2 linked regions of the Xenopus tropicalis genome follow. The protein of the gene in region 2 interacts with the protein of the main gene of each other region in a pairwise test. Links are inferred from orthologs where the notes say so. Each region holds a gene or a part of one and is shown on either strand. Other genes may lie near its edges.

The links.
Region 1: the proteins of uba3 (region 2) and impa2 interact in binary tests that used the Homo sapiens proteins (3 or more experiments, as listed by UniProt). The two-hybrid records come from large-scale screens. The link is inferred for Xenopus tropicalis from reciprocal best matches to the Homo sapiens genes UBA3 and IMPA2.

Annotation. Positions count from the first base shown.
Region 1 is NC_030682.2:103,845,778-103,849,437, reverse strand, and holds part of impa2 (inositol monophosphatase 2), read left to right. Parts: intron 1-1,420; coding exon 1,421-1,554; intron 1,555-3,460; coding exon 3,461-3,565; intron 3,566-3,660. UniProt on the Homo sapiens protein: Phosphatase that can use myo-inositol monophosphates, myo-inositol 1,4-diphosphate, scyllo-inositol-1,4-diphosphate, glucose-1-phosphate, beta-glycerophosphate and 2'-AMP as substrates in vitro.
Region 2 is NC_030680.2:141,994,072-141,997,731, forward strand, and holds part of uba3 (NEDD8-activating enzyme E1 catalytic subunit), read left to right. Parts: intron 1-2,678; coding exon 2,679-2,779; intron 2,780-3,544; coding exon 3,545-3,608; intron 3,609-3,660. UniProt on the Homo sapiens protein: Catalytic subunit of the dimeric UBA3-NAE1 E1 enzyme. E1 activates NEDD8 by first adenylating its C-terminal glycine residue with ATP, thereafter linking this residue to the side chain of the catalytic cysteine, yielding a NEDD8-UBA3 thioester and free AMP.

The DNA.
Region 1 (3,660 bases), on a different chromosome or scaffold from region 2:
GACTTTATCGTATTTTGCGCGTCTTTTTCGTCGCCGTCGCATTTTTTTCGTATTGAGCGATAGTAAACGGCGGAAGAACCAATACAATTTTTTCACAAAAATACTGATCATTACGAAAAAACACATTCTGACACCTTCGGACCGTTCGTGGATTAGTAAATATGCCCCATAGAGTTGCCAGTCATTAATGCAGCATTGGTTCCCGCACAATCCTTTAATAGGCTGGAATACAGTTTAAATTTGTATTCCAGCCTATGAACAATCGTAATACCCACTGCCTAGTGTGACTGCCAGAAGCCCCCTTCTCTCCATGTAGCTGGCACACATTTACACAGGGTAAGTGCGGCTAGGCTGGGGGAGACATAGGGTCAATCTTTAAACCAGCATAGAGTTGTATTATTAGTAATATGCGTTCCTTACCGTTATAGGAACATGTCCGTATCGCCTTAAGTTGGGTTGAAAAAAGACTAAAGATCAACCCCTCCAAATGAGCCCCAATGCACATATAATATATATATATATATATATATATATATATATATATATATATATATATATATATATATAATATATATCTATATCTCTGTACACAAAATATCATTGCTACCTGCATTGCATCCAGTCCATGCATAGAATAAAAACAATATATTAGTGCTCTGCAGTTGGAGTCCCCTGGGTGTGAGGTAGGGCCTCAGACCTACCAAGAAGCTTCTTTAAATGTGAGCACTAACCTGTTTAGGGCTCTGGCACACGGGGAGATTAGTCGCCCGCGGCAAAAGTCCCTGTTCGCGGGCGACTAATCTCCGCAAGTTGCCTACCCCTGCCAATATTATACATATACTCGCGAGTCTTTTTCAGCGATTTGCGCGAAATCGCGCCGCCGCGTCTACCATCCCGCCGGCGACTTACATGTTCGCCGGTGGGATGGTAGACGCGGCGGCGCGATTTCGCGCAAATCGCTGAAAAAGACTCGCGAGTATATGTATAATAATGTATATTTTGGATATTTGACCTACCTAGGTTCTAGTGACACAAACCATATTCACGGATTAATGCTGCCCCTTTAACTAAAATTATGTTACTAAAGCAAAAGTCTTTACTGTATCACTGTAATGCAAAGTTTGCTTCCTAAGTGCCTGTGTGTCCTTGCATCATTTCAGTACTAGTCAGTATTATTTTGGTGGTTGGTGAAAGGTTCTATTTCATGCTGGCTTATTTCTGTAAACCCCTTTATAAATACAAACAAAGCACTGCACTGCATACACCCTGACACTTTTAAAACAGTGATCCTTGCAGGTAGCTCATTTAGCCCTTCCCTGTGCCTTCTCCTGCATTGCCTTGTTCCATGGCTTAACTTTGTGCCTGCCTTATTATTGTGTAATGAAGTAGTATAATGCTGGTGACTATGGCTTCTTCACAGGTCATAAAGAAAGCTCTAACTGAAGAAAAAAGGGTCTCAACCAAAACATCTGTGGTGGATCTAGTAACGGAGACTGATCACTTTGTGGAAGAGCTAATTATTTCAGCTCTAAGAGAGAAGTTTCCCTTACACAGGTATATTGCTATAATGTATTTTGCTGTTATGATATGGAATCTGTATCTGTCTTTATGGAGTATAATAAACAGTGGTTCTGCTGGCTATGAGTGATGCCCAACCTGCTTTCTTTTTACATTTGTCCTCTATTTTATGTTGGCAAAACATCAAAAATTGAAATATAATGTTTGCATATGAATTATTTAGTCCCTAAACATTTAATATTTCGTAGAGCCAGCAATAACCACTTTATATATTTAGAATAAGTATGTGCCTTCAAAGTATTGTATTGGTATTATCCTAGACCATTTGCAGTGGGGTGTGCTGAATAACACTATAATTTTAAATTAACTTGTATATACAGTACATACATACATACTATAATTATTTCTGGTTAATCGAACAAGTCTGTACCAGCATTGCATATGATTAATACCCATTCTCCCAGACAGATTTGCGCTAGGTTTTTCAGGTTACAAGAATGATGTTTGTGCACCTCAGTTTTCTTAGTGCACTAAATCCTTCATCAAAAGAAACACAGGGTTTCCTTTCTTCTTTTGTGCAAATATGTTCTTTGGTATCGGACTTCCTCTCTCAGTGCCAGAGTCTGGGCAGCTCTCCTCTCTCCATTCTCCTCCCCCCCCAATAAGAATTCACTTTCCCCTCCCATCAGAACAAATGGAGGTAGCTTTTAGGGCTGTTTACTCAGGTATGGTAAAGCTTTCTGCAGAATAAATATAGCGTTCTAGGTGGCACAAATGTGGCTAATCTATATCTCGCACAAAATCCTACTGTCCTCCACCTTCATCCTCCAAATCCCACAATTCCCTGTACAGGATATCAATAAGGAAAGGAACATCATAGTGCAATGCATTGTGGGTTATGTAGTTCCTGTATGCTGTTTGTAAACTGTTTTTACAATTTGTATCATCAATGTTTAGTCCCTCCTCCCCTGCCTGTATTTTAAATGATGCAGATTTCAGCATATAAAAATTCTATTCACACTTTTTGAAGAAACATATTACAGTGATAGGTATATTAGGGGTCTCTGTTGTTGTGTGGGGCTCTTTAACAATTTTTGCTGGAGTTCCCCTTTAAACCTAATCCCACCAAATTATCTGTTTTTGCCCCTTGATACATGAACCAAACCCAGACCTCTCTGCTATTCAAACTGCTGAGCCATGTATCTTTTAGGTTTCAAAGGCACCAGTTGGTGTAGGTGTGTTTGTCCTTCCTGTTCTATATTTATATCACCCACTTGTGAAAATGACGGGCTGTTTGTATGATTTTCTGTTTCAGTGGTTAGTACATCACTGTAAAAGGGTAAGGTTTGATTTACTGCAAACAAAGTGTAGCAGTTTATTTAAGTATTGCAACTGTAACATACTTTTCACAGCATGATTTATTTAAACTGAATAACCGTAAGGTGTCATTTAAATAATCACCATGGCTATGTGATAAATTTACAGGGAAGGGGGTAATAAATTAGGCCTTTATCTTTAGGTCACTTACCTTCATATCTTTAAGTATACATTTTCAAAGTATTTGAAGTACTGAAATATCCTAACATAACAAAGAAAATACAAACTGTTAATGTACATAAATATAAATGTGCATCATATACACCCAAAGTAATCTAAAGCATTAGTTCAAGGCCAGGTCCTGGACACACAATGTATACTTCCCACGTTTTCTGTCCAAATGTCAGATTTGAGAATGAACCTAAGGGCAAAACAGCAAATTGACCCAAAACCATTTCCATCTAAGAATTATTTTAATCTTGGGGTTTGTTTTCCTTTTCTTCTCTTAAAATGTGCAAGTAAAATTTTTCTTATCCAAACTTCTAAGAAGTTATATCCATTGTTTATCCGTTGCTGATACATCAGTTAATGCTTTCTGGATTAACAGCCTATTCTCCATGTGTAGGTTTATTGGAGAAGAATCTACGTCTGCAGGTTCTAAATGCGTGCTTACTGACAGCCCCACCTGGATTATTGATCCTATCGATGGAACATGTAACTTTGTACACAGGTATTTTTTCTTTGGAAATTTTGTCTAGGTTTTAAGGCTTTCTTATTTGAGACATAAATATTTTATTTATTAATTGGAAAATAAGTATTATTGAA
Region 2 (3,660 bases):
GGCTTTACGTGTCCTTTATGTCTTGCCCTACTAGCAGCAGGAAGCTTTTTTTGGGGGGGAAAAATATTTTTTTATTTTATACAGGTTGGGATCCATTATGCAGAAAGGCCATCTCTCATAGACTTCGTTATAAGCAAATAATTCTAATTTTTAAAAATCATTTCCTTTTCTCTGTAATAATAAAACAGTACCTGTACTTGATCCCAACTAAGATATAATTACCCCTTATTGGGGCAGAACAGTCCTATTGGGTTTATTTAATGGTTAAATGATTCCCTTTTCTCTGTAATAATAAAACAGTACCTGTACTTGATCCCAACTAAGATATAATTACCCCTTATTGGGGCAGAACAGCCCTATTGGGTTTATTTCATGGTTAAATGATTCACTTTTCTCTGTAATAATAAAACAGTACCTGTACTTGATCCCAACTAAGATATAATTACCCCTTATTGGGGCAGAACAGCCCTATTGGGTTTATTTAATGGTTAAATGATTCACTTTTCTCTGTAATAATAAAACAGTACCTGTACTTGATCCCAACTAAGATATAATTACCCCTTATTGGGGGCAGAACAGCCCTATTGGGTTTATTTAATTTACATTATTATTACATTAACATTTATTTATAAAGCGCCAACATATCCTGCAGCGCTGTACCCTAAGTGGGTTTCATACATTGGACATACAGAGTAACATATAAAGCAATCAATAACCGATACAAGAGGTGAAGAGAGCCCTGCCCAAAAGAGCTTACAATTTAATGGTTAAATAATTCCCTTTTATCTGTAATAATAAAACAGTACCTGTACTTGATCCCAACTAAGATATAATTACCCCTTATTGGGGGCAGAACAGCCCTATTGGGTTTATTTAATGGTTAAATGATTCCCTTTTCTCTGTAATAATAAAACAGTACCTGTACTTGATCCCAACTAAGATATAATTACCCCTTATTGGGGCAGAACAGCCCTATTGGGTTTATTTAATGGTTAAATGATTCCCTTTTCTCTGTAATAATAAAACAGTACCTGTACTTGATCCCAACTAAGATATAATTACCCCTTATTGGGGCAGAACAGCCCTATTGGGTTTATTTAATGGTTAAATGATTCCCTTTTCTCTGTAATCATAAAACAGTACCTGTACTTGATCCCAACTAAGATATAATTACCCCTTATTGGGGCAGAACAGCCCTATTGGGTTTATTTAATGGTTAAATGATTCCCTTTTCTCTGTAATAATAAAACAGTACCTGTACTAGATCCCAACTAAGATATAATTACCCCTTATTGGGGGCAGAACAGCCCTATTGGGTTTATTTAATGGTTAAATGATTCCCTTTTCTCTGTAATAATAAAACAGTACCTGTACTTGATCCCAACTAAGATATAATTACCCCTTATTAGGGGCAGAACAGCCCTATTGGGTTTATTTAATTTACATTATTATTACATTAACATTTATTTATAAAGCGCCAACATATCCCGCAGAGCTGTACAATAAGTGGGTTTCATACATTGGACATACAGAGTAACATATAAAAGCAATCAATAACCGATACAAGAGGTGAAGAGGGCCCTGCCCAAAAGAGCTTACAATTTAATGGTTAAATGATTTCCTTTTCTCTGTAATAATAAAACAGTACCTGTATTTGATCCCAACTAAGATATAATTACCCCTTATTGGGGCAGAACAGCCCTATTGGGTTTATTTAATGGTTAAATGATTTCCTTTTCTCTGTAATAATAAAACAGTACCTGTATTTGATCCCAACTAAGATATAATTACCCCTTATTGGGGGCAGAACAGCCCTATTGGGTTTATTTAATGGTTAAATGGTTCCCTTTTCTCTGTAATAATAAAACAGCACCTGTACTTGATCCCAACTAAAATATAATTACCCCTTATTGGGGGCAGAACAGCCCTATTGGGTTTATTTAATGTTTAAATTATTTTTTAGTAGACTTAAGTTATGGAGAAACATTCTGGAAAACAGGTCCAATACGTGTATGGGGCCTGTTATCTGTAAACCCATTATCCAGAAAGTTCAGAATAACGGAAAGGCCATTTCGAATGTGACAAATTATAACAACTTCTCCCCAGCTTACAAGCAGCATGCAGGAACTACATAACCCACAATGCATTGCACTGGGATGTTCCTTTCCTTATTGACATCACGTGTGCAGCAGGGAATTGTGGGATTGGGAGGAGGCGGGCTGAAGGCAGGCTGAGGGCAGGCGACTACTGTTACAGTTTATTTGAGTCACAAATTAGCCAGCCAGACCAGCAGGGGAACAGGGGGCGGGGCTTAGGGAACTGTTCCAAACCAGATTATCACATTACCAATCATGAAAAGGCTGCATATTTTACAATTGCTTTATTTTGCAAAGGTGCTTGAAATTATGTTTACTTTACACAAAGCTTAAGTTGTGTTTGGGTGGAGTTCCCCTTTAAGGATTGCAGAAAGCCGCCTTCTCCTGTAGCCACCTCCAGTTGAAACATGGTCGCGGACAGGAATTATTCAGCAGTCAGTGATCCCCATCTGCCATCATATAAAATAACGCACTTTTCCAGGACACGTAGTTCCTTTCATTTAGCAGATAAGGGTGAAGTTCTGCGTCACAGCAGCAGTCTAAACGGATTCAACTATAAACATTTCTTTTCTTGTTTGACAGGAAAATTGTCCCGCTTGCAGCCAACTCCCACAGAACATCCAGTTTCCTTCTTCAGCCAAATTGCAGGAGGTGCTGGATTATTTGACAAATGACACATCACTGTAAGTGCTTGATCATCCTTGTTCACCTTTAAATTAACTGTTCCATGACACAAAGAGTAACATTCTGACATCATTTCCAGTTTGTTTTCATTTTTTATTATTTGTGGTTTTTTGAGCTATCTTTTTATTCAGCAGCTGTCTGGTTGCTAGGGTCTAAATTACCCTAGCAACCAGGCATTGGTTGGAATGAGAGGATGAAATATAAATAGTATAGGGCCTGAATAGAAAAATGAGCAATAAAAAGTAGCAATAACAATAAAACTGTAGGCTTATAGTGTCCTTGTTATTTTAGATGTTGGGGTCAGTGACCCCCATTTGAAACATGGAAAGAGTCAGAAACTTTAAAGAAGAAAAAAATAAAGCCCAATTAAAGAGTTGCCTAGAATTAGCCATTCTACTTAACTGGTACTCTAAGACAATTTGCAATTTATTATATTTGTTTTTTAATTCTGCCGCTCCCAGGCTTAGAATTTAGACTGCTCTTTGGTTGCTAGGCTTTAGGTATCCTAGCAACTATGTTGTTTGGAAGCTACAATTGAAAGTAAAAAGAAGAGTGCCTGAATAAAAAGATAAGCAACAAATGTAATGTAGGGTGGATGATAATAAAATCTGTTCATATAGAATAGGCTAATCTATAATGTTCAAGAAGTTATGGTAAAGGTCAACTTTGCCTTTAGGAAGCATAGATAGATAGATAGATACTGGGTTATTTTGCTTTCTAAATATAATTGGCTTCCCTTATGTCTCTTATTGTGTTTGATGCAGACAGATGAAATCTCCTGCTATTACTGCAACACTGGATGGGAAAAATAAAACCCTTTATTTACAGGTAAGCAGGAATGTGCCTTATCTGCAGTCTGTAATGTTTGGATGTTATGTTT